7 linked regions of the Daphnia pulex genome follow. The protein of the gene in region 3 binds, or shares a complex with, the protein of the main gene of each other region. Links are inferred from orthologs where the notes say so. Each region holds a gene or a part of one and is shown on either strand. Other genes may lie near its edges.

Region 1 (3,022 bases), on a different chromosome or scaffold from region 3:
CGCTTTATGTACACACACACGTTCTTTGATTCATGTAGTTTCTACCTTATAGTCTAATCATCATTTTAAAAAGTTTATTTTGTTTTTGTTTTTTTACGATTTTTATTTGTTTTAGATGTTGTTGGCGAATCGTTGATGATGTATGGACTTTGCCGCGTCAAAAGCTGCCCCGACATTGTGGATCAAATGAACCAAGATGGTCTACTACCGACCAACATCCATTTGGAATTGGAACTGAATAAAACTAACGGTAAAACTAGCGACAGCCAGCAACAGACTTTGGTCTTGTTGAGAGTGGCCAGCAGCAGATCACGCCGCGATAGTCAAACGCAACGCTATTCATGCGGAGCCCTGGATGGCAAAGTCTTGGTTACGTCGAATAATAATAACAACAGCAAAATAATAAAAGATTCGTCGTCCAACCCGTCACCCTCGCCTTCGGGCTGCGGTTCTAGACACAATAGCAATTCCAGTTTGAATTGCAACAGCTTCTCTGTTATCGAAGTGTCATAATAAATTGATAATTATGTATGTGTAATTATTTTAAACACTACTTTATTTTTAGGGTCTGAAATTTTGCTAGTTTTCACTCTTTGCTATGTTGTACACCCCCCACCTAACAGGCTGATATCATTGATACTTTTATTGATTTTATACTTGTACCTTCTATTTTAAGTGGTTACACAATGTTGTGCAATAGGTTATTTTTATTATTGTAGTCCACATGAAATGACTTGTTTTCAAAACATGATTATTCTTGTCATTGTGTAAATTATTCTCTTGCCGGAGACATTTTTCATGTGTAAAAGTGGCTAGGCTTCATCAAAATAAATATTGGAAAATATTACTAGGGAAATTTATATAAAACTAAAAAATAATAAATAGATGTTGAGAATGAAATATTCAAGTGTGGTTGTAGCATCATGTTTTTCTTATCAGTCAGCACATCAAGATTGGATGTACACAAAATCAGTTCCCCGTTAATCAAAGGTAATACACGACAGAACACAAATTGGGAATGCATTCTGACCAATTAATATAGGAAGATTAGTCGTCTCCACTTCCTGCAGCATTTTGGATTAGAGTAATGTTGTCACCTTTCAGCAACACCCGTCCTAAAATAAAACAGCATTTAGAAGACAGAATAATTGTGAGTAAATGAAAACGTCATTACCAATCTGTTTTCTGACATTTGTTTTGACGTAGACTTCCTCTGCATCATCGAGAACAATGTTCATGTACTCATCAAATCCAACAATGTGTCCTTCCATGTGCATGTTGATGTTCTCATAAAGCCAAATGTCTACTCTTGATCTTGTCTGAAGGTATCTGAAAATCAAGTTCTGGAAAAAGACATTTTTGACACACGTGCCGGTTAATAAATCTTCGTGCTGAAATCGAAGTGATAGTGGTGAAAACTTACGATGGGTTGAACCATCACTTTCTGGACTTTAGGTGCTCGGGCTGCCATTTATCTTGAATTGATATTTAATTGATTCCACACGGGAAAATTATCAAATTTCTAAATGAGAGTTGTTTGAGTTTACACTTTTTGTTGAAGAAGAAACGAACACAGACGCTCAATTGCCAACAACGTTGCCAGATATTTATTTCCTCGTAGGGATTTTCCGATATTTTTCAAAAAGACAAGGGCGGCAAAGGCAAGCAGGCAAAGCAGCCAAGCAGCCAAGCCAGAGTAACAGAATATTACTTTTTTTATGCTGGCATCCCGTTCCGGTTTGCGAGGTTCCCGTAGGAAATAATATCAATTAAAAATTTAAAAAAGCAAAAGTAAAGTAAACATGAAATTCAAAATTAATTACATGAATCTATCGGTATGGTGAATGGGAGGGGGGACGGGCTTCGCCTGCCACCCCCGCCCCCCCCCTCTTGCTTCGTTAATCGCTTAAATTACTGTTATACTTTTACATTAAATAGTATCAATCAAACAAGGCCTATCGGAACATCAAAAAATATCTGTGAATCATAAGGGGTGCGACTTAGGTGTGGCGGAGGCTTCGCCCCGCCACCCCACGTCGCACTCTCTTTTTAGCTTAAGTAACAGCAAAATTTATTATTTTCATAAGCAATATGAAATAAAAAATAATTAGTTATAGTTACAGATAAATCTGTAAACAGTTAGAACAAACCAAACCACAACACCCACCCTCTCTTACGCTTCGTTTAAGTTATTTCGATATTTTTACTTGAAATCGTATACTAATAAAAAATAATACATATCGAAATCAATTAAAACATATCGAAACATTCAAAAGTTATGTCAAACATTCAAACATTGGGGTGTGACTTAGGTGTGTGCTGTGGCGGAGGCTCTAGGCCGCCTAGAGCCTAGATAGATGCCAGTTAACTTTTACTTTTGGTCGCTAGAGCCTAGATGCCAGTTTCTACGCGCGCAGTTCAAACTGTTTTTCATTTTCGAGGCGCGCAGTTCAAACCGTTTTCCAATTTCTACGCGCGCAGTTCAAAATTCCAAAAAGCCATCTATTGGCGAAATTTGAACTAATCCTCCCGTATGCCAAAAAACCTGTAGAATTAATATATTTTTCTATTACTCTGCTGACTGGGCCTGTGGGCTGTGGCCTTGTGGCGTGTGGCCGTTCTGCGCCGATCTGCCGTTCCTTTCCTTACAACAACTGATGCTTGCTGCTTGGAAAAATTCACAGAATCACAGCTAATACTGCTAATACTTTTCATTTAATGTCAACTTTTGGGCTGTTCTCGCCTTGGGATCCACAATGAGTTTCGCTGTTCTGTTCGTGGAATAATTTTTTTAAAAAGAAGATAAGGACATATTCATACGAGGGGTCGAGGGCATTCTCTGACGTAACTATAAAACATACGGTTTTAATTTGCCAAGTGTGTCACTGTGTCACATCTCACCTACAGTATTTAATTCAAAATTGGTAAAAGTCAATTTTCAAATTTTACGTTGGCATGAAAAATGAGAAAGAAAAGAAAGTCTATTTACATTTAAATTGGCATCGCCGCTTCTTCTCACAAA
Region 2 (3,699 bases), on a different chromosome or scaffold from region 3:
TCCTATTAACGTGTCATTATTATTATTCAAATATTCGTCTTGTCCAATGCGACGGCTGACTCAAAAGAAAATCCGCGACCTGTACCTTTTTAAGATCTTCGTAGAAGAGAAAGAGCATGTTTGGGTTGTGGCGTTTGTTCCAGGCTTCAATAATATGAGGGAAGAAAGGAGAGAACAGGACTGAAACAACAACATGCTCATAAAACCACGGTACGTTTTAGAATATCAATTTGAAAATAATATAGATTACGTTCATCATCCATAAAGTATCGGGCGAATTTTTCAACATCTTCAGTAAAATTATGAAACTGAATCAGTTTGTGATGATGAAAATATGAAACAATGACATCTTTTGGATTACGGGCTACATAAACCACCTGCAAAACACAGCAGATAAAATATTAGTAACAACCAATCGCCTACGGTTTACAAATATGATTAAGGGAACTAGATTTCCTTGCAAGTATCCAATAACTTCGGATTAAGAAGATAAAATGGCAGATGGCTTTTAATAACTCTTGGTGAAGGCATTTGCTCAACCTTATCAAGTGTAATCAGCATTTTGCTGTGCTCTGGTGGAAGACAGCTACCAATCATGTATGGGAACCTTAAAGAGTCCATATAGTTCATAAACCGAAAACGGAAATGTCTTGTTAAAGCTCTCAATGACATCCCAACAACTGACATACTCTAGAAAGGGTGACCGAACTATTAGTGGTGCCTTAGATCCAATTGGATCACAATTGTTGAGAATCATCCACACTAATTCCTGTGTCCACGTCGTTCCTAAGTAAACAAATTCAAAGTTATCAATTTTATATGTGCGGGAGAATACGAAAAGTTAACACTTTCAAGATCCGAGAGATTTGTATTTGTTTGTTTCAAACTATGTGTTTTAAAATAGGCGGGGAGAAATACAAGGTTGCCATTTGGCTACTAGACTTTCAAGGCTACGGCCAAAAAAATTGATGACAAAGAAATAAATTGTGACGTAATAGCAGTAATTGCTAAACAAATACCACTAGGATATTTATTTTTACGAATTATTATTTTATAAAAATGTAGCTATTACATAAAAAAAATCTTAAAAATGATTGAAAAAGGATTTTACCGCATTTTGGAAAGGTTACTACCCAAACGTCGTCGCTTCTTGGTTGAAAACGTGAAATTTCTTTGGCATGGCGTGCATACTCATCCGTTAAGAGAAAACCACCAGGTTCGCTCTTCATCAGTCCATGCTGCTCGTAGTTTGTGAAGTGTTCTTTCAAGTCTCCATTCACTTCTACAGGATTGAATTTTATGTTCCACTCTGGAACAACTTCGGGAGGAACTGAAGGATTTTCGGGGTTTGTCATCGTGCGAGAGCTCAGACAACAAATGAAAACGCAACGGCAAAAAGGATCGAACAAAGACCGCGACGACTGAATGACACCGTGGCCTCCTTTTTTATACTCAACAGCGACTCAGCGAGTGCCACATCAAATTTTAACGATTTGGTTTTCGTCGTTAAATCAAATGCAAAATTATTAAATCCACGTAAATATGTATTACAATATCAGATATTTGATAATATTTATTTAAATATTTTACAACGACCCAACGAGCAAAAGAAAAATATACTTCTCTAACAACATAATTTTGATTTCGAAAATGTTATGCTGTAATCGATTACAAAAATTCTCAATTTGGCATACATAAGCATTACTCAATTTCTAAAACATTACATAAAAAAATGAGAATATAAATACATTAAAGAGCAGGCAGTGAGGCAGCAGAGAGCAGGTCCGCGGACGGCGGACCGCTAGCGGCTAGCCGTTTACAGGTGGTGGATGAAAGTAAATCTGGCAACGGTTACGAGTTGCGACACCATTTCATGTTGACAAGCCGAGAAACGAGTTGTATCAAACTGAAACTGAAACATTGAATTGATCTCGTTTTTTTGAGAAATACGCCAGAAACATTAAGGTAATTAGAGAGTACTTGTGCATATCTTGTTTTATTTCGTTTGGATCGCCATGGTAAAGCACAACGAAGACGAGAGGAGTCCCAAAAGGTCCCACGAACGAGGCCATGAAAGAGGCAAGACTCACAGACGTCGTGAAGAACGTGACTCTTCCCCACCACGAAAATCTTCACGAAGCGACCATTACCATTCAAGAAGTGATGACTATGAAAGAAGTCGGAAATCAGACAGCAGGAGACATGATTCACAAGTTTCACACAAAGAAAGTAATCGAAGAAATGACCCACCAATTCCAGTTAAAATCAAGAAAGAACCAGTTAGTGATGATGAACAAAGTTTCAGACGTCCACAACACAATGAAGGGCCTTCAAGACGGCATGAGCAACCACATTCAGAAGATCGACCACCAAGACCTTTTAAGCAGAGACGCAAAAGCCCCCGAAGTGAAGATGCTGAAGCAGCCAACTACCAGTATGGCCAACAAGTTAAAGATGAAGAAGAAGAAGGAACACTCGTTGAAAAGCAAAAACCCAACTTTGGTCTATCAGGAAAATTGACTGAAGAGAAGAATGTTTTCAATGGTGTGGTGGTCAAATACAGTGAACCACCTGAAGCCAGAATTCCCAAGCGACGGTGGCGTTTTTACGTCTTTAAAGGGGAAGAGGCATTGCCTACGTTGTACCTTCACCGTCAAAGCGCCTACTTAATCGGAAGAGATCGTAAAGTTGCTGATATTCCAATCGACCATCCCTCTTGCTCGAAACAGCACGCTGCGATCCAATTTCGGTTGGTAAACTACGAACGGCCTGATGGAACTGCAGGACGTACTGTCCGGCCATATATTATTGATCTGGAAGCAGCCAATGGTACTTTTGTAAATAATCAAAAAATTGAATCCAAACGTTACGTCGAATTGTTCGAGAAGGATGTGGTGAAGTTTGGCTTCAGTTCCCGCGAATATGTTCTCCTTCATGAAGAAAGCAAAACAGATGCTAGTTTGGACGATATGGGAGTGGGGCAGTGACACGTTGGTGACCAGCAATGTTTTGTATCATAACAATTTTCTTTTTTGAACGCCGCAATACACTTAATGTTTCTGCGAAAGGTATTCAATCGTCTTTAAGTGTTCTTTCATTTCATTTCCAGGTTTCACACATCAGTGGGGCTGTTCATGTTATTCGTAAGTTGTCACGTTAATTCAAATTTATAACTAAAGCAATTTTTACAACCAGTTGGTAACAGGTAACCAAAATTGCTGGTGTCATGAGACCTGTGGAACGACTGCTGGCCTCCTCAGCAAGACCGCCCAACATTCTAATATGTACGAGTGACAAAGAAGTTTTTCAGCAATATCGAGCCCTCTTTGAATCCACACTAGAGCCGGATTGGTATATAAACAGTATAGACATTTGATATCTGGATTCTTGATCTTAAACAATGTAACATTGATTGACAGTTATGCCCTTTACCATCTCGATGAACTCTCATTTCGTTCTAAAAAAGCTTGGCTAAGCAACACAAGCCTCCTAGTACTTGCTTCTCGATGGTCTGATAATGACTTGCACGATCCGCTGGAAGAGTACATCAAGAAGGGTGGTCAATGTCTTTCCCTACACCCTTTTTCTCCAAAATGGCTGAATGGAACCCAAGTGAATGGCGTTACAAAGTACGTATCTGATCAAGGCTTACTAGTCTCACCAGTCGACAAGCTTGATTTCGCTCAAGTACTTCCACAT
Region 3 (4,260 bases):
GTAAAAAAATAGGAACGACTAAAGGAAAATACCAAGCAAGCCAGGCATTGGCCAGGATCGCTATCACCATCAACCCGGAAGTGGCATTCCCAGGACAGAGAATGTGCGAATTGATCCGGCCACTCTTAGGTCTCCTTGATCTCGAATGCAACGCTCTAGAAAACTTTGAAGCTTTAATGGCCCTCTGCAATTTAGCTGGATTCGATGCCCCGAGAAAAAGGTATGAAATATTTAAACAATTGATTGTTGGCCAATAAATAATTCATCTCGGTTAAAAGGATCCTCAAGGAGCAAGGCGTTGCTAAAATCGAGAATTACATGTACGAAAACCACGAAATGTTGAAAAAGGCCTCGGTTCAAACGATGAGCAATTTGCTGTTTAGCGAAGAAGTGGTCAAACTCTTTGAGGGTAAAAACGACCGCACCAAGTATTTAGTCTTACTTTCCACTTCAGAAGACGTTGAGATGTCCAAAGCTGCTGCAGGAGCCTTGGCTATTCTGACGTCAGTCAGTAAACGGGCTTCACGGAAAGTTTTCGAGGTTTGCCTCCATTCTTTTTAACTTTTTCCCTGGAATTGATTTTAACTTTTTTTTTCTCTTGTTAAATTTGTCAATAGGCGACAGAGTGGAAAGAAATCCTTTGCTTCCTACTGAGCAATACGGACAAAGACGTGCAATATCGAGGAGCTGTTATCGTCAAAAACATCGCCAGTCATTCGAAAGAGTTGGCCGAAAAGTTGTTGCAACCTGAGGTTATTATGGTCCTGGAAGTTCTCACCAAATTCGGTAAAGAGGATTAAGTTAAAACTTTTGACATGGTGCCTTGAACTAATCTTTTTTGTAACCCATTTGAATCCGCTCTGCACACAGAAACACCTGAAATGGCCAAAATTTGCGACTGCGCCAAATCAACCCTGGAAATCGCCGAGCAATGGAAACTGATCGAGAAGGAGGACGACTCTGAAGATGAGTCTTGATAAATTTTAATGAAATGATTTAAACAAAAATTAAATTGTGTGCCTATGCAAATTCACTCGTTAAAGTTAAATACACTTTATACGTCAATTGAAAGCATTATTTAAAAAAGAAGGAATTACAAAATAATGTATTCTTACACGTGAATGGTAGGGGGAAAAAATAAAGATGATCTTATCCTCAATCGCTGTCATCATCTGAATCCGTATCGTTGGCCACGACTCCTTCGTCTGCGTAGTGAATGTGCTCAATCTCCGTAACGGGCTCCTCCACATCTGCTGTTGCTCCCGTAGGTTTACCAGTAGTGCTGCCAGACGGCTGCATAATCAATTCCAAGTTGTTGAGCTCCTCGTCGCTGTCTGCTTCCTTGTAAGTTTTGCCTTCTTCCTCCAACTTGAGCCGCTCGATGAGGCTCTTTGCCGGGTTAAAGACACCAAAAGTTTGTTTGCCGCAAACAAAACACCGCTGCGATTTGCGGTAATGTTTCAAGGCGCAGGCCTCGCAGAAATAATGCTTACACCTGCCGTGTCAAAATTTGCGTTAAATTCTCCTTCTTATAAATGAATAGGAGAGAGTCTTTATTACTTGGAGACAACGGGATGTTGGAACGACTCGCGACAGATGAAACACTTGAAGGGCAAATCTTCGTCGTCCGAGTGTATTTCATACTTTGAGTCGTCTTCGGCCGGCTCACCTTTTCCCCTTTCTTCTCGCTCCAACTGCCATCCGAATTTATAATCGGAACGGTCGTGCAAGAACTTACAACTGTCTAATAAAACACAGCAAAGCTTTATAAAAGTTCAACTGAATGATGATAATAACCCCAAAAACTTTTGGTTAGATTTTGAATACCTCCGAAACCGCAGAAACCCGTTTCCTTGTAATCTTTACAAAGATCTGGTTGGTAATCCCATCTCACTGTTGACCTGATGTTGGCTGGGGCTCGCATGGGGCCTTTTCTCACATTGGCAGATGCAGCATTTCCTTGGGCTGTATCTCTTTTCTCGTAGTACTGGGCATAGTTAGCAAGGCCACGATATTTCTTGTCATCTGCTTTGCCTTTCAGCTCCTGCTGGACTGTCAAAGAAACAAAACATTATTTTGGTTCATTTTAAATAAAAAAGTTGACCTACTTTGTAAAGATTTCTCAAAAATTGTCCTGGCATCTTGATCGACGGCAGTGTCGATCTGAACTGTGGAAGTGGCAAGATCGTCTTTCTTGTTCTCAGCACTTCTGTCAGACTGGAAGACGACTGTGACCTTTTCCTTGACTTCCTCATCAGAGCTGTTTTGGATTTCTTGACGGGACTTTTTCGTGGATTTGAACTGTCAACCCCAAAAGAAAAAAACACGATGAGAAACACAAATTCTTTTTGCAGAGACTTTCAATAACTCACAGTTTTAGCCGAAAGAAGTCCAGCCGATTCCTTTTTCCCCACTCGAGCAACAACAGTTTCATCTTCGCTGCTGCTTTTCTTGTCATCATCAGCTTTTCTCCTCATGGCGGCTCCTCCTCCTCTTCGTTTCTTGAATGTAAACGTGCAAACTTTATTGTCGTCGGCCATTTTTGTTTGTTTGTGGATTTTCTTGTTGGATCAAGCTTTCCTTTTTTGTATATAAAAATGTATTTTGACTTGTCAACAAACGAGAACAATAAAATAAAAATCCTTCCGTCTTCTCGTCGTCGGCTTTTCAAAAGGATTACCGGTGCACTGTTGTCTGATTCCTCTAATTGGGTTCTTGATGACTGATTGAATACGCAGCAAGGGATCTGCTGCAGATTTACATATATATGCACAGCAACAGAGACTAGTACATAGAGAACTATGCACACACACACACACAAAAGCTTTTATTATTGTGATCCAGATTTGTCATCTACGATGTCGGTATTAATGATCCGACCCCGAAAACCCGCTTGAGACTTTGAATATATCTTAACGTCATCCGTTTCTACTACTACTACTACGGGTTTTGCTATTTTGCATTTGTTTTGGAAAAATAAAATCGACATATCTTATTGCTTTACATCATTATTATTAGGCATCGTCGTCATTTCTTATGGTCTTCTTCTAATCATTTCCATATGCCTTGGTGATTTATTTTCCTTGTGCAAATGAAATGGATGGGGGGAAGAATCACGTTACTTAAAAATCTCTGGCGACTCGATTACACACAGGCAGTACAAAAAGGAGCATCCTTTCATTAATTAGTAGGTTCCCCTCTAATAATCTGGTGGCGTGTATATATGTATAGATGTGCTCGGCGCATCACAGAGTCTGAGGACCTTCTTCTTTCTTCTCCTCGAAATAATAATACGCACTATATACGCTTCTGCTGGCGATCAATTAGAAAAGACTGCCGAAGCTTTTAAGAACCTTTTCGCCACATATGACTGAATAATAATTCTATTTTCTTAATTCCCCTACCCAATTTTTATTAATTTTTTTTTTCTGGGTGGGGCGGCGGCCACTGAACTGTTATCTCCTCTTCGTTCGTCTACTTTTTTCTTTTTGCTGGTTTTTGGGGGCTTGTTCTCCGCGGGCCTCTTTCGTCTTTGCCCGATGTCGCGCTTATTATTTCTATATCATCAGCAGACTGCTAGCTGCTGGGGGCCGTTCGCTTGATGATTCCCTTACAGCGCCTTAATTAGCCCAGCACTTTTCATCAAGTTGAAATAATAAGGAACGCGCAGGCCAGAAAACCCGGCCGCAAAAGTGCACGAAGCGCTTCACCGTCCGATGAAAAGCTACTTGATCTCCATCCTCCGACTCCATTTATACACCTATACTGCACTACAATATCTATACCTATTCATTTAAAACAAAAAATATTTTTATTTCGCCGTACCGTATAAGTAATTTTTCGGTCAAACTTGTCGCTGACTGAAAAGCCCATCTAGCCAAACTTTGACTTCCTCCTCCAGCAGGATTGGCACATTGACTTATTGCAGCACAGTTTTGCAGATATACCGTTTCGTTCTATGCAAAGAGGGGAGGAGGCTATAAATAGGGACTCAATGATAGATACATGTTATGCATAAAGCGAGGGCCTATTTATACAGAAGCTGAATGATCCAGACAAGATATATAATATCCACATGCTACACTACTATACACGTATAAAAGGGGCTTTTGAGAGAAGGGCCAGCACGGCAGCAGGATCAATCCTTTACACAGCACACACAAGTTACGCGCGCGTTCTAATGGGGCTGCTGCCCTTTTATGAAGACTTTTCGCTCTATGTTCTCTATATGCAGTTTCAGCGTATATATCATCTATATAT
Region 4 (3,775 bases), on a different chromosome or scaffold from region 3:
CTGAAATAGCTTTAGCTTTGCGACTGAGTGCAGTACCCACGGCTGAAAAGTTCTTGTCCCTGCGAAAATAAATAACTTTAAAACTGTCGGAATCAAAATTTGTCTGATTCAAAATTTCACCTCAAATCAGCGTAAAGCTCTTCGGCCGAGTTTAGAACAACAGATTTAACAGAGCTACCATCAGAGCGAGGTGACTGGCCCGCATGTGATGAGGCTTGAAAATTTTCTCCTGGAAGCTTGACTGTATCTAAATAACAATGAAACCACAAAATGCAAGTAAAATAATTGTTTTACTCAGAAGCTAACAATACTTTCTTACTATGTTTTATTCCATAGAATTCGTCGATAAGACCCTCATAGGTCAACTGAGTGACAACAGGAGTTATCAAATATACAGTCCTATCAATGATCATAAGAGTGTCGAACAACGGAGATATGGGGGGATCACAGTCTACCCCAATATCACTCGCATTCGAGTCATCAATTCGAATACGTTACGGGCATGGCGCCCCTTACCCACAACGTTGGGGAAAATGCCATATAAACTTTGGAGGGACATTAACCCATGAGCAATTTGGTGTAAGGAGCTGATTTCATTGTCAACATATAAATCCTGAGAATAAATTTGAAGAAATTGATGACAAGCAATCCCTTTCAAAGTTTGGCTCATAAATAAATACCTTGAAAACATTATCGAGTTCCATTGAAATGACATCACTATCTAGTGGGAAAAAATCAACAGGCAGTTCATCAATAGAAGTAAGAGTTCCATACACTCCTTTGTCCTAAATGAAGTAATAATTTTGTCAACAATTTCTTCTTCGCTGATTTAAGTAACTTTAACCAACCTTGAGCCGCTGTTCACATACTGCACTTCATCGGGAGATAAAAATTAACTGATATTCCTTACTAGCAGAATGTCCTTGGCTTTCTTCGCTGAAATGTAAATTAACTTATTGTTGACTATTTAAAGTTAAAATATGTAGATTATTCATACCTGTGCAAGTTATCGGCAATACAATCCATCAGCTCAACTTCAGGTCTTGTGATGAACAGTATATTTTTAACAGATATGGAAGGCAAGCACCCAGGTTTTAACTGGAACATTTTTACAACATCTAGTTCCTTAAGAAAACTGTATTCTGCCACCAAACCAATGGGGCCAGTGAGTTGTTCATCCCAAAATATTGCCTAGCATAATTGATGAATTTACGTACATTTCTTAAATGGAATAGCACACACCAATATACCTTTGTTCCACTGAACTTCTCTAAAAGAGGAACAATATCCTGTAACAATAACAAAACTGTTGACGAAATTTATTTTTACTGAACAAGACATCAACAGACTGTCAACAGACAACCTAATGGTTTTTGTGGTTGTCCTAAGTCACAAAAAGCTAATGACTAAATCCGCATAAAATGAAATAAAATTTAGTATTACCAAATGAATCGAAACTTACCTATCCGCTGAGATAAATTACTGTAAGTTTACACAAAAAGTTTGAAGAAAATCGATGCAGTAGTTTAGATTTCTATAAATTTATTCTGATTCTGAATTAAAGGTTCTGGAAGCCTGGCCCAGAACACCGTACACTCCCCCCACATCCCTCCCCCTCCTACACACCCAGACACCCGCATTTACTTTAATGCCTTCTGGTAGTACAAGTACTACCCTCAGGGATAATGTTTACTACTCGTAAACAACTTTATCGAAAATCGGGTAAAAAGGGAGTAGATCGCTTCGAATTCCTTCAAGAGTTGGTTAATGAATTCTATCAATCGAATTCTCTTGGTATGTTTCATCTTTAAAAACAAATTTTAAAAAATTACTACTAAATAATTTGTTTCAATTATTTTAGAAAGCCAAGAACAAGTTTTAGCTAATTTGGCCAATTTTGCGTATGATCCCTTGAACTATGATTATATCAGAGAACTCAAAATAATTGAATTGTTCTTAAACGGACTGCAAAGCAGAAATCCATTCTTTGTTGAATACTGTTTGAAGGGTATTTGTAATTTGTCCAATGATCCCCTGAACCAAGATATAATATTCAAACACAATGGACTCAATCATATTAAAGAATTTGTAAAGTCTGAAAACCCTGATTTAGTGAAACACGGACTTACTACTTTGATTTTTCTACTTTCATCAGCAATTCCATCAGGTAGTAAGATCTAATAAAAGTAACACCATTTTATGATTTTAATTTCTCATCTATGTTTATCAACAGATGTTGCCACTTCCGACTTGATTGCCCAGATTCAACTGTTAAAACATAGTGAAAATCAAAACATAAAGAACTTGGCTACCATTTTCTTAGAAGAGTCATCTGGCATCAGTTCAGGCTAACTTGAAAGGAAATGTTCATCAAGAGAATAAAGTGTATACTCCAGAAGAGCACCAACATGAAGATGAATCTTGCTGAAGGGATAAACAAAAGATTTCTTCAATCATTCATTCAGAAAGGCTCCACAGTAGTAGAACTTAAAAAAGTAACTTATGCAGATGTGGAAAGTTTTTCCAAGTTGACAGGTGACTTAAATTCAGTTCATTTTGGTGGGGAAGCTATAGTTCATGGGGTTTTGCTTAATGGCTTTGTCAGTGCTGTTCTTGGCACCCAGTTACCTGGGCCTGGTTATGTTGTTTATGAACAATCAATGACTTTTCCAAATCCCTGTCGAGTTGGTGATGATGTAGAAATTCTAGTAGAAGTCGTAGAAGCCAGAAAAATTGTTGTCTGTAAATACGTGTGCACAAGTATTAATCAGCAATGTGTTGTTCATCAAGGTACCGCTAAATTATTGAAATTTAAAGGATTAAAATAAAACCTACATCCATGTAGCCTATGCGTTTATTTCTCGGCGCGTCTCTTCAGCTGATCTACGTTTAACTTCAAGCAGGAAGAGGACTGTTAGTCCGTTCCAAGAACTCCCTAGACAGTTTTTCAAAGTGTAATGGGTGAATGTAAATACATAACTAATAAATTATAGGGATTAAATTAAAATTTACCAGAAATTTTCTGCCGCATTAGCTCCATGCTCTTCTCGATTTGCTGATTCTGTTTGCGTATTCTTACAAAACAAAAAATGCTTTGTCATTTGCATTTTGCCTTTGATTTCTATTCGGATGGCACGATTCAAGAGACCGTATAACAGTGGATTAATGCTGATTGATGCATACATAAGCCACGTCACCGTTATAGAGCCATTGTTTGTAACGTACCCAGGAACTGCGTCACACAGAAAATCTTCGTGATGAACAATGGGGATCACGTTCAATACCCAATAGGGCGACCACAGTACAATGTAGGAACCGATTGTAAGCACTAACGTCTTGATTGCTTTATTACGTTTCTTATTAGAGACCATACTTGATTCTGTTTGCGAAACGACAACTGGATTTACAGTCCATATTCTTGGAGTCGTTTCATTAATTGGAGGAAACAGAGAAGGGGTCGGCTGAATTGTTCTTTGCACATTCTGTGCAACTCGGTAAATGTTTAAATACATTACTACGATAATAATGATTGGAAGTACATAGACTGCCAAAAATTGCAACCAACGGAAAATTGGATCCTGAAAACGATAGGCGTATGGCGCATAACAAGTTTGATCAGGTAATTGGAAAATTGGAATTAAAGCAAAAAGTATGCTGCCCGCTGTCACGATTGCGTTCAACAACGCATATTTTAATGCCGAAGCCGCATAAAATGGGCGAGTGATGGACACGTTTCTTTCAATTGCAATAGCAGAAACCAACCAAGCGGAATTGT
Region 5 (4,988 bases), about 2.3 Mb from region 3:
TCACATCCAGTTGCTCGTTTCCACAGCTACTTTGGCCTGGGTAAATATAATAACTAATCAGAGCGTTTTAGAAAAGGTCAAATTTTAACGATTTTTTTACCAATATTAGGGTGTCAATTTGCCAGCCCATACTGTCATCATCAAAGGAACGCAAGTCTACAATCCGGAGAAAGGTCGATGGTGCGAACTTGGATCTCTCGATGTCTTGCAAATGTTGGGTCGTGCTGGTCGACCGCAGTACGATACCAAAGGTGAAGGTATCCTCATCACCAACCACAGCGAGTTACAGTATTACCTGTCGCTGCAAAATCAGCAATTGCCCGTCGAGTCGCAAATGGTCAGCAAACTACCAGACATGCTGAACGCTGAAATCGTTTCCGGCACAGTGCAAAATGTCAAAGACGCCGTCCATTGGTTGAGCTACACTTATCTCTACATCAGGATGCTTCGTTCACCGCAACTTTACGGCATATCGGTCGACAAACTAAAGGAAGATCCGATGCTCGAGCAACACCGAGCTGACTTGATCCATACGGCAGCAGTTTCACTTGAGAAGAGCCAGCTGCTCAAATACGATCGCAAATCCGGTCAACTTCAAGGTACTGTATTTTACATTGCAATTTTGTTATAATGTCCACAGAAATTGATGGGTCTTGTGTTGGAATGTAGGCACGGAATTGGGAAGAATTGCCAGTCATTATTATTGCACCAACGCAAGCATGGCAACCTACAACCAGCTGTTGAAGCCAACTTTGAGCGAAATTGAACTATTCCGAGTTTTTTCGCTCTCTTCCGAGTTCCGCAACATCACCGTACGTGACGAAGAGAAATTGGAACTTCAGAAACTTATGGAACGTGTGCCTATACCCATCAAAGAAAGTATCGAGGAGCCTAGTGCTAAAGTCAACGTTCTATTGCAAGCCTACATTTCGCAGCTGAAACTGGAAGGCTTCGCTTTGATGGCTGACATGGTTTACGTGACTCAGTCAGCTGGTCGTCTCATCCGAGCCATTTTCGAGATGGTTCTTAGCCGAGGATGGGCCCAGCTAGCTGATAAAGCCCTCTCACTGAGCAAGATGATTAATCGTCGCATGTGGCAATCCATGTCGCCGCTTCGGCAATTTAAGAAGATGCCAGAGGAGATCATTCGAAAATTGGAGAAAAAGAGTTTGCCGTGGGAAAGACTTTACGATCTAGGCCCTACCGAAATGGGAGAACTTATTCGAGCTCCTAAATTGGGCAAGACCATCCACAAGTATGTTCATCAGTTTCCCAAGCTGGAGTTGTCTACTCACATTCAGCCAATCACTCGCTCCACGCTCAAAGTGGAATTGACCATTACTCCCGATTTCCAGTGGGACGACAAGATTCACGGCAAAGCTGAAGCTTTCTGGATCTTTGTCGAGGATGTGGACTCTGAGGTTATTCTCCACCACGAATACTTTCTTTTGAAATCGATTTACGCACAAGACGAACATCTGGTCAAGTTCTTCGTTCCAGTTTTCGAACCTCTGCCACCCCACTACTTTATCCGCGTTGTTTCGGATCATTGGATTTCCTCGGAGACGCAGTTGCCTGTTTCATTCCGTCACTTGATTTTGCCGGATAAATACCCACCACCGACTGAGCTGTTGGATTTGCAGCCGCTTCCTGTCACTGCTTTGCGTAATCGATCCTACGAAGCTCTCTACGCCGACTCGTTCCAGCAGTTCAATCCCATTCAGACGCAAGTGTTTAACGCGCTGTACAACACCGACGATAACGTCTTTATTGGTGCTCCAACTGGAGCTGGAAAAACCATTTGTGCTGAATTTGCCATTCTGCGCCTTTTCAGTCAGAAAGAACAAGAGGCTTCGGCTGAAGGAGTAGCTGAAGTTGAAGCTCGTTGCGTCTACGTTACCCCCAATCAAGAACTTGCGGATAATCTCTTCATCAACTGGCAAGACAAATTCGCATCGCGATTAGGCAAGAAAGTGGCCATGTTGACTGGAGAAACAGGCACCGACCTGAAACTTTTGGCTAAGGCCAACATCTTGATCTCGATTCCAGAGCACTGGGATGTTTTGTCACGTCGTTGGAAGCAGAGGAAGAATGTCCAGAACGTTCACTTGTTTATCGTCGATGAACTTCAATTGCTGGGCGGAGAAGACGGGCCTACACTCGAAGTAGTTTGCTCAAGAATGCGCTACATCGGTGCCCAGCTTCAGAAACCCATCAGGTTAGTGGCCTTGAGTCACTCTTTGGCCAATGCCAAGGACGTTTCGCAGTGGTTGGGTTGCCCAGCAAACGGCAGTTTCAATTTCCACCCGAACGTGCGACCAGTTCCGTTGGAACTTCACATCCAGGGATTTAACATCACCCACAATGCGTCTCGCCTCATTGCCATGGCTAAACCTCTGCATAACGCTATTTCTAAGCATTCACCGAAAAAGCCGGTACTGGTCTTTGTTCCGTCGCGAAAGCAGTCTCGCGTGACGGCCTTCGATATCCTGACTTACGCCGCCGCCGAGAACGAACCGGAACGCTATCTCCATGCCGAGTTGGAGGACATCAAACCTTTCATCCAACGGCTAACCGACAAGACACTCCACGAAACACTTAAGCAAGGTGTTGGATACTTGCACGAAGGTCTTACAGTCCAAGACAGAAGAATTGTGGAGCAGCTGTTTGAACTTGGGGCCATCCAGATCGTTGTCGTTTCGCGCACTCTTTGTTGGGCTGTCTCCGTTCACGCTCACCTGGTTATCATTATGGACACGCAAAGTTACAACGGTCAACAACACATGTACGATGACTATCCCATTACCGATTTGATCCAGATGGCTGGCAGGGCTAATCGACCGCGCGAAGATGACGACGCTAAATGCGTTCTCCTGTGCCAATCGTCCAAAAAAGATTTCTATAAAAAGGTAAACTTGGAAACTTTCTCCTAATGTTGTAACACTTGATTGTTATTTATTTGTTTCTTTCTTTTCTAGTTCTTGTACGAACCATTGCCCATCGAGAGCCATTTGGACCATTGCCTTCACGATCATTTCAACGCCGAAATCGTGACCAAAACAATTGAAAACAAGCAGGACGCTGTCGACAACTTGACGTGGACCTTTTTGTACCGGCGGATGACTCAGAATCCCAACTACTACAATCTTCAGGGAGTGAGTCATCGACACTTGTCTGACCACTTGTCCGAGTTGGTGGAAAGCACGCTGAATGACTTGGAGCAATCCAAGTGCATTACCATCGAGGAAGAAATCGACGTTAGTCCGCTTAATTTGGGCATGATTGCTGCCTACTATTGCATCCACTACACGACGATCGAGTTGTTCAGCTTGTCGCTCAACGCCAAGACCAAAATCCGTGGTTTATTGGAAATTATTTCAGCAGCCGCCGAGTATAAGAGCGTGCCAGTCCGGCATGGAGAAGAAGCCGTATTACGTCAGTTGGCTACCAGACTTCCCAATAAGCCTCAGACTAATGCCAAGTTTAGCGATCCCCACACTAAAACGTTCCTCTTGCTGCAAGCTCATTTGTCTCGCGTCCAGTTGCCAGCGGAGTTGCAGCAGGATACGGAACTCATTCTGGGCAAGGCGATTCGATTGATTCAGGCCTCTGTGGATGTGCTCAGCTCCAACGGATGGCTTTCACCAGCTGTGGCCGCCATGGAGTTATCGCAGATGGTGACTCAAGCTATGTGGTCCAAGGATTCGTACCTGAAGCAGCTACCTCATTTCACCACCGAGATTGTCAAACGGTGCACCGACAAGGGACTCGAAACAATCTTCGACGTCATGGAAATGGAGGACGACGAGCGCAACACTCTACTCGGACTTAATGAGTCCCAGATGGCGGACGTCGCGCGATTCTGCAATCGTTACCCCAACATCGAGTTGGGATTTGACGTTTTGGATCGCGATCGAATCACTTCAGGACAATCTGTAGTGATTGCAGTGAACCTTGAACGTGAAGATGAAGTCGTTGGCCCAGTCCTTGCTCCTTTCTTCCCACAGAAACGCGAAGAAGGCTGGTGGGTAGTAATCGGCGACCCGAAGGCTAATGCTCTCGTTTCCATCAAACGTCAGACATTACAGCAGAAGGCCAAAGTCAAATTGGATTTTGCGGCTCCAACGACTCCTGGCCAGCATTCTTACACCATTTATTTCATGAGCGATTCGTACACGGGATGTGATCAAGAGTACAAGTTTACCATCGATGTCAAGGAACCATCAAACTCTGAAGATTCTGACTCTGGTTCCAACTAAACATGAAGTCCAAAACTTTTTCAATCTTTATTTTTGTTTCCATTTTTGCTGGTATCATGACCGGTTTCGTTTTTAAAACATTGTGAGAAATGTCATGCCACTAAGCATATTTGCTCGCTATGAATAAAATGCGCTAAATCATTTCAATTGTTTGCACACGTGAGATTTATTTCGAATTATTGATTGGAAAAATTCGATTAATCACAAATAAAATTACACTAGGTTTCACAATCATATTTAAGCGGGAGTAACTTATAAGCGTTTTAATTTATACAAACTGATCATTTGTAAGAAACATGAGTCAGATCATTTTTGAAGTTCCATGAGATTCCGTCACCTCGTGGAGGATGAACAGATGGAAAGAAAACGCACCACCATGTTCTGAGAGAAGAACAATTAATCACCGAACATAAAGCTTTAGCAATTTAAACTTGATTACCTTCCTTCAGAGAGCCCAAGAAATATCCGCCAATTTTCATAAGTACCGTAGTCATGTGGGTTGACAAAGACATTTCCTTCTAATCGTTTAGCTTCGCGGTCATCTTTGTTAGTCAAATTTTCAATGCTCGTTTCCCCTCTGGATATAAGTCTGGCGTGCCACCCAACTAAGGCACTCAAGGCAGCTAAAACTCCGGCACAGAGTATTGCCTCCGTTACAGCGACAGCCCTTCTCAGTGATCTTGGTCGAGGTGCTGGAGCTACTTCTTCTACCTGCTAATTAAATGATTA
Region 6 (4,670 bases), on a different chromosome or scaffold from region 3:
GATGAAGAAACTTCCAGCACTTTGCCAACTGAACTTGAGCTCAAACCCCGCACAGTTAAACAGACCTACTCTCGTAAGTTTTACGTGTTCTTTCTTTTCTACCTGCAAACCCTTAATTGTGTTGCTCTTCCCAGTTTGTGAAAACCTTGCGATTGATGATCTCAAAAAGTTGCAAGACTGGCTGCTACTGCAAATCTACAATACCTCTGACACGCTGGTTGGGCTGCTGCAGGAGAGACAGCAGCTGAGTGAAGAAGCTCATGTCCGACTTATCAGCATAGAGCAGCTACACAGGCTTCTGGAGGCTAGGTGTTTTTATCGTGGACTTTCCACTGGACTCTTTTCATGATGATTATTACTTACACTTGTCTGGTGATATTCAAGTCTTCTGCTGCATTTTCGATTTACCATTATGTACATTCTTGCAAAATGTTTCGTCACTTTACAGTATTGAATCAAGTGTTTTGTCTCGTAATCAATGAATAAATAAAACTAGTCACAGACATTTCATTTGAAATGTATTCTGGTCTTGGAGAAAAGGAATCATTGTTTTTGTGGTTTTTTTAAAAAGATTTTTTTTTGTGTGAGGTAAAATGAAACAAATTGCGAAATCGTCAACGGAAAGAAAAACAATATTTAGTCTCGACGCCGTCTCTTATCCTTGTCCTTGTCTGAGCGTTCCGCGTCAGTGGGTCGTTTGCTACTGGCCTTGCGGACGTCCGTCAAAAACTTGTCGAGGCCGAAAGGATCCTCTTCCTTCTCAAACTGAACTGGACCACTGCGGGAGCCGGAAGGACCAGAACGATCAGTTCCGCTAAATTCCTTATCAGGTACAAACCTGTAAACAAATGAAAAACAAAATGAGTTTCAACTTCATAAACCAATGCACCTTGAAAGTAGGTCAACTTACTTGCTGGTCTTGACAAGTTTATCCAAATCGTCGCCGTACAAATCTTGATCGAGGTTCTTGGTCGGACGATAGAGATTACTGGACAGAGTTCCTTGTTCACGCCAAGGTTTGTCGTAGACATTGTAGGCCTCATCATCGGCGAATCCACTGTCCATTCCACGAGTTTGGTTCAGTAAACGCTGATCGTACATGGTCTCGCCACTTGCAGAAGCTCGAGCAGGCATCCCCAATGCAATCTGCTCACTAATGTCACGCTCGCGTTGGCGATCGAGTTTGGATCTACGCGTCAATGGAAATTGTTAATTAATTGACTGGAAAAAGTTGAAAGGAAATCAAATGTTTAATACTTTTTATCGCCGGGAGCCGCGCGTGCAATGTTGCGCTCACGTTGACGCTCACGATGCCGTTCTTGTCTCAAGTTGTCACGCTCCGCTGCATCATCGTCGTCTTCACGAGCAGCAGCAGCGCCTGCACCGGGTCGCAGACCTGCTCTCTCTTCGCGGACTTGCTGCGCCAGCTGTCGCAGAGTATCTTCCTTCTTTTCCTTTTCTTTTTGCGCTTGTTTCTTTTGAAGTTGGGCGCGAAGTTCAACCGACTCTCTGGCCTTTCGATCGGCTATGTACAATGATTCGGCCAATTTCGCGAATTTCTCGTTAATGTGAACCTGCGAGAAACAACAACATTTAGTTGATTGGGGAAAGACACGTTTTTAGGTCGTTAGGGACGGCACCTGTTGAAGTCCTCGACCATCGGCTGCCAAACGTTTGTCAAGAGGAATGGTGTAACCTTTAGCGTTCTTCCAATTTGAAATGCAAGGCGGAATTTTCCATTCCTGTTGTTCCTTGACAGTTACTTTACGTGTAGGAGAATGCAACACGGGGGCAGGAGGAGAAGGTGGACCACGGGGGATTTTTTGGTTGATTTTGAACCTAGTGAAAAATAATCAGTCAATATGGGAATGAAATGAAATGGCACTTTTTCTAAAATTTACCTTGGGGGTTCCATGGGATCTTTTTGTACTTCAACCATGCGGATAATGCGTTGTTTGGCGCCAGAATTGAATTCATCACCCTGCTGTGCTGGTGTGTAGCGAATGAATTGAGCAGGGCCAGTTCTCTCTGCGGCACGGACTGGAAGAGCTGCTTCTACTTTGGCATTGGTGATTCTTTCCAGGGCTTGTCTCGTTTTCTCTGTTATATCTGCAATTTCATCGTCTGTGGGCTTGTGCAAAGAGGGATCATCCTCATTGGTAATTTCAGCAGGCAGGAGATCAGTGAATTTGGAGTAGACGTGTTTGTCCTTCCCATGGCCTTGCCTGGCAATAGCATCATATTTGATCTTTCCCTCTGCATCAAGTTGGATGGCCAAGGCATTTGACTTTTGTCCAGCCTGGTCTTTGCGACCCATGTCCATTGGATATTGGGCCATGTGAATTTCGGGAAAAGCACCTCCATCTCCGAAATCGGAAACATTTCGAGGCATCCATGAATCGCGATTTCCGTATGGTGGGATTGCCTTTGTGGCGGCCACGATGGCCGTTTGGCGATTAGCACGTTCCTTTTGCTCCTCGACATCTCGATCCCACGTCAACTGCGTTGGCGCTGGGAGATAACTGTATAAAATAACATGACCATAATTAATACATAGTTTAAATACAAGGAAATCAAAAAAATAATTATTATACCTTGATAACGACGCCATGTTTTCAGTCGAGTCTTTCAACCAAGATGTTGCCAAATACAAAAATTGTAACTCGAGAATAATTTATGATGCAACGTTGTCAGATTGTTTCTTCGCAACAGAGCGAGATAAAATGCGGGATATTTTCGGCTTTTCGCAACATCGACATTTTATTCGATACAAATTAAAAAAAAAAGAATATTATTAAATTATCCAGAGTTTACATAAAATTGTGTCTCCATCAATGGGATGGGGCGCTCAAGACGTGATGGGAATTATATAAAAAAAGGAAAAACGTCGTATCGATCCTGAAAACTTTTTACAAGATTGTGGCGCCGTGTGTGTGTGTATGCTCTGCGTTGGATGTATCCAATAAGGTTTAATGATGGGCGGAATAAATAGACGCACTTGAGATGAGAGTGTTAGCGCGCCTTTTCTTATTACAGTCTCTCTCTCATATTCCTTCCGACGTTTTTCTTCTCCGTTCCATAAAAAAATAAGAGCGCAGTCAACAACCTTTTTCCTTCTCCTCGCAGCCGTTCTTGGCATTTTTTACGGTAATGAGATGAAAGTCGAGAGTGGGTGGAAAAGAATAAGAAAGTCAAGTAATCCATACCCGCCCCGAGTTGAAATACGAACGCTTGTCAACTCTAATGGAACTTCGCGTCTCTTGCAATCTGCTTGTAATAACATCTAATGGCAAGGCAAAATATAACGAGTTGCCGCCCACTGTGTTTTTCGTTTGATGCAACGCAATTAACGCCGACGTGTAAAAGTGAGCGCTGATGAAATCGACCCTCTCTGTGTTACAAGTTGGACGCCGAGCGGAACTGAGCGCATCGCCATATGAAAAAAGTAAACACCTTAAAAACTTTCACTTTGGCCAATATATCCCACGACGACGACACAGTCGTAAAAATAAATGCTGTTCTCGTTGGGAGGGTTGCACCATCTGATTTATCAACGGATAGCTGGCTTAACAGTCTGAAATCCGGTGGCCATAAATGCCAACGTAAGAGTTTGATATACTATAGTGAATAGATTCTCATTTTGAAGCGATGCGAATCAGCGAGGCAGTTCAGAGTCTCGTCCCATAACAAATGATAAATGTGGATGTGCGGTGACCGTGAGCTCGCCTCATCTCCGTCTCTCTTCCGCCTTCCGTTTCGACTTTCAATGTGTGGGCCAATAAATCTCTTTTGCGGCGTAGGGCTTTATAATGCATCCACAATGCATACAGTACATCCGATAATAGAGAGACAGTTGTAGGACAAGATTTGGGAACTTTTCGACGACGACGGCTGCTCTCTTTGCAACAGGAAATCAATACGAGATGTGCTGATGCCGGTCTCCAATAAATAAAGGAACGGCAGCAGCAGCACGTCTCATTATCAAAGTCTTCTTCTTCCTCTGTATATATATCATCTATTTGATCCAAGACTATATATGTGTGTGTATAGCAGTTTCGCCTTTTCCCTTGTGCGATAATACAGTTGGCTGGGTGGTGGGGGTTGGTTGAGGCTCTTTGGACGGATCGATCGATATAGGCCGCCTTGTCTCGCTCAGACTATACTATGTAGGCCTTGGCACAAGGGGAACTTGATTTGGCACCGGGGTGCTTGTGGCGCAGCAGCTGATGGTGAAGTTTACTGACAGATAAGCCCATGGCAGCAGTCATGTTTATTATTCAAGTTATTTGCCCATGGAGAGAGAGATAGTTGAGGTCCCGAGGCACGTTAATTACGCAACAGCACCGAGCATCTCATTAAGACGAACAATAATAAATGCATGCAGGATGTATACAGTTCATTCAAGTAGATATGCGTGTGTTTCTTATGAAAATGTATCAGGAAGCCGCGACATTTCCCCATGGCAATTGTTTACAAGGGGAAAAGAGGTTGTCTTCTTAATTATGAGCTACTTGAAGATATGTTACGTCTACTCTATTCTTTTCTCATCTCGTCTTTGATGTCTCGCCTCGCCGAGCACACAATATTCTCGCTCCAATGAGTAATCAGGATAACGTACGTGCACAGGTCAACTTTAGCAGGACGTGACCGTAAACTCATAAAGTTGATGT
Region 7 (4,899 bases), on a different chromosome or scaffold from region 3:
AAAAATGAGATGATACATTACCTTGGGAAATCACTGTGTCAATATTGCTCACTGGATCGGAAAATGGAAAAGATGAAAATGGAAATTGCTGGTAACCTTCTTGAAATTCCGTAGGAATATCGAAGCAGCAAACACTGCCGATTCCCATTGCGAAAACTATTGATACTAAAAGTAACAGAACGTTCACGGTACAACATTTCTTCATTTCTATGTGTACAATCCACACCAAATTCGGTCGACGGTTTGTATTTTAGAATGTAACAACAACGAAATTTCGTCACAATTCCGCTTTTGAAGTATAACACTCAGTGTTTCCTGATAACGGCTAGTTCCGCGTTGGAAGACATAGCACGGTCGCGTAACTTGGTCCACTGAAGAAATCACGACTGGGAGCAACGACAAGTAACAAAAAAGAAAAGCAAGTCCGAAAGATTTAACGGCGAAAAGGGAGGCGCTTATACACAATGATCCATAATTTGATTGAAAAGCTATGATGACTCATGTGACGTTGATAGTTTTATCAAAACATTTCCTTGTAACTTGTGAAGAGACCAAACACTACCTCATTGCGAGGCACTAGGAACACCACTGAATGCCTACCGCTCGTGGTTGGATTTCGTAGACTTTTAATCGTAACATTTCTCTTCGTCATCCTTTCATTTGTTCTGCTCTCTCCTCACTTTCTCCTAGGTTCCGCAATTTCCAATGGTTTACCGAAGAAATCCAGGTCACGTCGCTATTAAACTAACGTTATACGCTGCATGGCTGTTTACGAAGATTCATCAACCATGGAGAAGCAGCCACGCAAACTATGCGCCCTAATACTTTCTATTCACAACCGTTTACACATCAATTACGCTTAAACACTAACAATACCATTCAGATGTATTTAAAATTATGCAAATTCCTCTGAAACTCCCCATTTGTATGCGCGGTTGTCTCAGATATATTTGTTTAAGGTTTACAATGATTGTTACGGAAAAACCCCAAAATAGGTGAAAAAGTCTAAAATTTGTCAGCCTGCCATACGTTCAGTGTGTCATGTCGCGTCATCGTCCGATAGGCGTTTCATCCGGCTTCATCCTCATCACGTTCACACGGTACTTGCGTTTCCTCTTGCTATTCGATTTTGTTGCGGTTGTTGTTCTGAAGCCTCCGTAAAGTTGCTTGCTAATTACATGCTAATAATAAGTATCGCAGCAGCAGATTCGTTTACCAAATTGGGAGAAAATAGAATTTGGAGAAAGCAGGCCATACTTTTATTGTTTGGTACATTGTGGTCATAGCTTCATCCATGACTTGGTTTGTCCTATTCCTTAGTCAATTAATAACCTTCAGCTAAAATACACAACTTTCCAAAAAAGAAACTGAATTTTCGTCTTTGCCTACTAAAAGTAGGTCGGGTTATTAAAAAAAAAAATTCCAGATTTCATAAAAGAAAATTTGTCAGGTTGATCGCGGTAAAGTTTAAGTTTTTAAATCTAATGTTTAAAATATATTTATTGTAATAAAAATACTCTTAGCACAGTAGAAAACAAGATACAAAGGCTTTCCTCACACTTTAGATTTTTCAGTTTCTATACCTAAAACAAAACGCAATTGAGATATTATAGCGGTAGGAATAGGAAGATGAGGAAAAAGGGTTTCTAGATCAAATTAAGGGTATGGAGCTATCCAGCAGATTTTTAATTTTTTACAGAAATGCAGATTTCAGTTTTGGGACATCACAGTTGAAATCCTGATCCCAAATTTTAAGAGAAAAATAATTAAAATGAATTTATTAACTAATTATTTCATGAGTGATAAAGAAATAGTTGGGAGAGATTTTTTGAAATTCCAAATCAGTAAATCACGAGCTTAGTTCTATGTGTGTCCTATAAGGAAATCTATTTTTACTAAATCCATACGATACAACGATAGTTATCGAATAAGACTGAAGATAAGTGAATTTTTCCGTCAGAAACTCAGAATTCAAGAGCGATAAATGTATGAGTATGGCCAGCATAGTATCAGGCAACTCTTATTTACAGTGCGTTGCAATCGTCTGCCACCAGTAGCGCTGTGAGTCGAAAGGATAAAATGGTTTGTTTGTTTAAAAAAAAACCAAACACAGTTCGCTCGAACTAGCAGCCAACAACTCCGAACTAGACATAGAACTGACATAGATGCTAGATTGCTACTACTACTAGCTTTGTCGAGCTACACATTACCTCTGCACATTATACACATCAAAACACGGAATTTTAATTAGTTTCATTTTGATTTTCTTCCTTTTTCTCCTCGATTTACAACAATGAGTAACATATACGTTCAAGAACCACCAACAAATGGAAAAGTTTGTATTCTTTTCATGTATCATTGATTGAACTACGTGCTAAAACGTAACTTTTGTTTAGGTTGTTGTGACTACTTCTCTAGGAGAAATTGAAATAGAACTGTGGAGCAAAGAATGTCCAAAGGCTTGCAGAAATTTTGTTCAACTATGCCTTGAAGGATTTTTCAATGGAACAATTTTTCACCGAGTGGTACCAAATTTTATTGCTCAAGGAGGAGATCCTTCTGGTAAAACTTAATAATGTGATCTGTTGTTATTTATATTTGATTGAAACAATTACCACCCCTTTTTCTTAGGGACTGGCCATGGTGGTGAAAGTATTTATGGGGAACCATTCAAGGTTACATAGTATTCATTTGAATAGAATTCATTATTTCAGTCTTTATTAACCTTTTACAATCTTTTGGTATTCAGAACGAAGTTCATTCACGTCTACGATTTGTCAGAAGAGGTAAAGCAAACATCTTCTGTGTTTTTATTACATAATGTACCATTTCAAACATCTTTTTAAGGATTGGTTGCAACGGCTAACACTGGAAACAATGACAATGAATCACAGTTTTTTTTTACCTTGGGTTCTTGTCCGGAACTGCAAAATAAGCACACAATTTTTGGTAGGGTTGCTGGGAATACTTTGTTCAACATGGTAACTGACAATTTGTTAATTACGCTGGGAACAAATTATTCAAGAAATTCTAATGTACAATTTTTTCTCTTTCTCATAGATCAAATTTAATGACTTGGATATTGATAGTGTAAGTATATTTAAATTTTGAAACTCAAATAATAAAATAATAAAATCAATAAAATCATAAACGCTATAGGAAGATAGACCTCGTCATCCACCTAAAATTTTTAAAACAGAAGTTATTTCTAATCCATTCCCTGACATTGAACCAAGGATTAGCCAAGAAAATATCAAGAAACCAGAGGAAATAAAATCTAAAATAAATAAAAAAAAGTATTAAGTCCAGCTATGTAATATTGTTATAACTGCTATAAGAGCTTGTGTTTGATTCTGTAGGAATCTTCAGCTGCTTTCCTTTGGGGACGAAGAAGAAGATGAAACAGATGTTCATCAGCCAACTAAGTCTTTTCGTGGGAAATCTTCTCATGAACTGACTAACGACCCTAAACTTAGCATTGTTCCTGCAGTCAACGTAGAAACGGGGTTAACAAATAAGTACGTTTAATAGAACAAGCCGTCAGATCATTTTCAAAGACTGTGTATGGTCTACATTCATATGTAAAATTTCCATGTCATATTTTCAGCGACAAACCGACAAAAATTGAACGGCAATTTGAAAAGGTTGTGCCTCAAACTGATTTGCAACCAGAAGTATCACCTGAAAGTGTAGATGTTGACATTTCGAACCAAAAGAAATCTGAAGCAAACAACAAACTGTAAGAAACAAACAAGTCATAACAATTACTTGATAGTTATGCTCATAAGTAAATGCTTTACTTTTAGAAAGCAAATCAAAGAACAGATAAGAGACTTGAAAAGGGAAATGAAAAACCCAAGTGAAACTCCTCAAGATCAAGAATTATCTAAGAAAAGAAAAATTAGCGACAGTGAAGAAGATAATGAAATACTTAAAGATTTTCATGAGCAGCAGAAGAAGTATGCGGACATAAAAACAACACGGCGAGGAAAGGGTAAATAGATCAATTGTTTAAAATATTTGTTACCTCATCATATCATCAACAAGTTTTAATATTCTATTTGGAATAGGCACGGACCGAGAAGCTGAAACCCTTAATTTCCTTAAAAAATTTCAGAGTAAGCTTAGCCAAACTCGGACAACGAAAGGAGGCGTTGATGATATTGATGACGTAAACGATGATGATGCATGGTGAGAAATAATTTTTTATCCCTATAAATTTGAAAATTGCAGAATTTCTTTATTTCTTTCTAGGTTGAATCACACGTTGAAATTCGAAGACAAAAATCCTTCGTTAGCCCGAGATGCTAATACAAAAAGTGATGATTGGTTTGAAATCTACGATCCCCGTAACCCCTTAAACAAACGAAGAAGAGAGGAATCAAAGAAGATCATGAAAGAGAGGAAATTCAACTAAAAACTAAAAATGATCTCCAGTTTTGAAATGCACATATAAAACTCACCTTTGTTTGTTAATCTCACCAATTTCTCTTTGATTCAACGAGCTTGAAAATCAGAAACAAATGTCACTTAGGCTTGCTGGAACATAAACTTGTGTGTCAATTGTAGCCAAAGTAGTCTGCACGCGTAAAGGAATTGTTATGTAAAGGAAAATTCTCCAAAATTTTTCGTGGGATCAATATAAACGGGATTGGTCACGAACGGTCACGAAATAACCGGGGATAAAAGCAGCGTGCCTGTGTCGGTTATCTGTTGAAACATCGGACTTATGCAAAAGAATCAAGAATAGGAAATTGCAGAGCTACTAAATGTTGCTAAATGTGTGACGCGTGTTTTTATCAAACCAAATGGTAAATGCGCACGACTAAATAAATGGACTCTTCGGGGGCGCTAGGGCGGGGGCACTGGAGACTTGGTCGAAGTTGATTTTGACTTCAC

What was found.
Region 1: E3 ubiquitin-protein ligase RNF113A-like (region 3) and probable small nuclear ribonucleoprotein E share a complex: the UniProt entries of both Homo sapiens proteins name them as parts of the minor spliceosome. The link is inferred for Daphnia pulex from reciprocal best matches to the Homo sapiens genes RNF113A and SNRPE.
Region 2: E3 ubiquitin-protein ligase RNF113A-like (region 3) and smad nuclear interacting protein 1-like share a complex: the UniProt entries of both Homo sapiens proteins name them as parts of the minor spliceosome. The link is inferred for Daphnia pulex from reciprocal best matches to the Homo sapiens genes RNF113A and SNIP1.
Region 4: E3 ubiquitin-protein ligase RNF113A-like (region 3) and armadillo repeat-containing protein 7-like share a complex: the UniProt entries of both Homo sapiens proteins name them as parts of the minor spliceosome. The link is inferred for Daphnia pulex from reciprocal best matches to the Homo sapiens genes RNF113A and ARMC7.
Region 5: E3 ubiquitin-protein ligase RNF113A-like (region 3) and U5 small nuclear ribonucleoprotein 200 kDa helicase-like share a complex: the UniProt entries of both Homo sapiens proteins name them as parts of the minor spliceosome. The link is inferred for Daphnia pulex from reciprocal best matches to the Homo sapiens genes RNF113A and SNRNP200.
Region 6: E3 ubiquitin-protein ligase RNF113A-like (region 3) and puff-specific protein Bx42-like share a complex: the UniProt entries of both Homo sapiens proteins name them as parts of the minor spliceosome. The link is inferred for Daphnia pulex from reciprocal best matches to the Homo sapiens genes RNF113A and SNW1.
Region 7: E3 ubiquitin-protein ligase RNF113A-like (region 3) and spliceosome-associated protein CWC27 homolog share a complex: the UniProt entries of both Homo sapiens proteins name them as parts of the minor spliceosome. The link is inferred for Daphnia pulex from reciprocal best matches to the Homo sapiens genes RNF113A and CWC27.

What each region holds. Positions count from the first base shown.
Region 1 is NC_060026.1:14,103,511-14,106,532, forward strand, and holds probable small nuclear ribonucleoprotein E, read right to left. Parts: upstream 1,597-3,022; 5' UTR 1,472-1,596; coding exon 1,424-1,471; intron 1,344-1,423; coding exon 1,175-1,343; intron 1,116-1,174; coding exon 1,048-1,115; 3' UTR 909-1,047; downstream 1-908. Other genes in the region: serine-rich adhesin for platelets-like, read left to right, coding at 116-513. UniProt on the Homo sapiens protein: Plays a role in pre-mRNA splicing as a core component of the spliceosomal U1, U2, U4 and U5 small nuclear ribonucleoproteins (snRNPs), the building blocks of the spliceosome.
Region 2 is NC_060018.1:419,520-423,218, reverse strand, and holds smad nuclear interacting protein 1-like, read left to right. Parts: upstream 1-1,959; 5' UTR 1,960-2,015; coding exon 2,016-2,987; 3' UTR 2,988-3,071; downstream 3,072-3,699. Other genes in the region: sulfotransferase 1B1-like, read right to left, coding at 1-2, 86-180, 251-377, 457-607, 690-786, 1,112-1,355; biotin--protein ligase-like, read left to right, coding at 3,135-3,143, 3,206-3,351, 3,420-3,699. UniProt on the Homo sapiens protein: Required for pre-mRNA splicing as component of the spliceosome. As a component of the minor spliceosome, involved in the splicing of U12-type introns in pre-mRNAs. Down-regulates NF-kappa-B signaling by competing with RELA for CREBBP/EP300 binding.
Region 3 is NC_060022.1:4,928,944-4,933,203, forward strand, and holds E3 ubiquitin-protein ligase RNF113A-like, read right to left. Parts: upstream 2,765-4,260; 5' UTR 2,541-2,764; coding exon 2,373-2,540; intron 2,302-2,372; coding exon 2,109-2,301; intron 2,053-2,108; coding exon 1,828-2,052; intron 1,745-1,827; coding exon 1,561-1,744; intron 1,496-1,560; coding exon 1,156-1,495; 3' UTR 1,008-1,155; downstream 1-1,007. Other genes in the region: protein unc-45 homolog B-like, read left to right, coding at 13-220, 279-540, 618-786, 871-977. UniProt on the Homo sapiens protein: Required for pre-mRNA splicing as component of the spliceosome. As a component of the minor spliceosome, involved in the splicing of U12-type introns in pre-mRNAs. E3 ubiquitin-protein ligase that catalyzes the transfer of ubiquitin onto target proteins.
Region 4 is NC_060018.1:4,531,244-4,535,018, forward strand, and holds armadillo repeat-containing protein 7-like, read left to right. Parts: upstream 1-1,587; 5' UTR 1,588-1,685; coding exon 1,686-1,794; intron 1,795-1,861; coding exon 1,862-2,167; intron 2,168-2,233; coding exon 2,234-2,352; 3' UTR 2,353-2,844; downstream 2,845-3,775. Other genes in the region: probable G-protein coupled receptor, read right to left, coding at 2,896-2,935, 3,013-3,775. UniProt on the Homo sapiens protein: As a component of the minor spliceosome, involved in the splicing of U12-type introns in pre-mRNAs.
Region 5 is NC_060022.1:2,641,892-2,646,879, reverse strand, and holds the end of U5 small nuclear ribonucleoprotein 200 kDa helicase-like, read left to right. Parts: coding exon 1-40; intron 41-109; coding exon 110-599; intron 600-669; coding exon 670-2,909; intron 2,910-2,978; coding exon 2,979-4,259; 3' UTR 4,260-4,406; downstream 4,407-4,988. Other genes in the region: palmitoyltransferase ZDHHC16B-like, read right to left, coding at 4,541-4,640, 4,699-4,973. UniProt on the Homo sapiens protein: Catalyzes the ATP-dependent unwinding of U4/U6 RNA duplices, an essential step in the assembly of a catalytically active spliceosome. Plays a role in pre-mRNA splicing as a core component of precatalytic, catalytic and postcatalytic spliceosomal complexes.
Region 6 is NC_060018.1:215,794-220,463, reverse strand, and holds puff-specific protein Bx42-like, read right to left. Parts: upstream 3,086-4,670; 5' UTR 2,612-3,085; coding exon 2,595-2,611; intron 2,523-2,594; coding exon 1,902-2,522; intron 1,840-1,901; coding exon 1,641-1,839; intron 1,575-1,640; coding exon 1,258-1,574; intron 1,190-1,257; coding exon 911-1,189; intron 839-910; coding exon 637-838; 3' UTR 502-636; downstream 1-501. Other genes in the region: uncharacterized protein LOC124188708, read left to right, coding at 1-73, 135-349. UniProt on the Homo sapiens protein: Involved in pre-mRNA splicing as component of the spliceosome. As a component of the minor spliceosome, involved in the splicing of U12-type introns in pre-mRNAs.
Region 7 is NC_060020.1:8,995,651-9,000,549, forward strand, and holds spliceosome-associated protein CWC27 homolog, read left to right. Parts: upstream 1-1,898; 5' UTR 1,899-2,293; coding exon 2,294-2,335; intron 2,336-2,396; coding exon 2,397-2,562; intron 2,563-2,631; coding exon 2,632-2,675; intron 2,676-2,749; coding exon 2,750-2,786; intron 2,787-2,847; coding exon 2,848-2,981; intron 2,982-3,060; coding exon 3,061-3,090; intron 3,091-3,159; coding exon 3,160-3,296; intron 3,297-3,359; coding exon 3,360-3,518; intron 3,519-3,607; coding exon 3,608-3,739; intron 3,740-3,806; coding exon 3,807-3,994; intron 3,995-4,070; coding exon 4,071-4,191; intron 4,192-4,254; coding exon 4,255-4,417; 3' UTR 4,418-4,462; downstream 4,463-4,899. Other genes in the region: trypsin-1-like, read right to left, coding at 22-205. UniProt on the Homo sapiens protein: As part of the spliceosome, plays a role in pre-mRNA splicing. Probable inactive PPIase with no peptidyl-prolyl cis-trans isomerase activity. As a component of the minor spliceosome, involved in the splicing of U12-type introns in pre-mRNAs.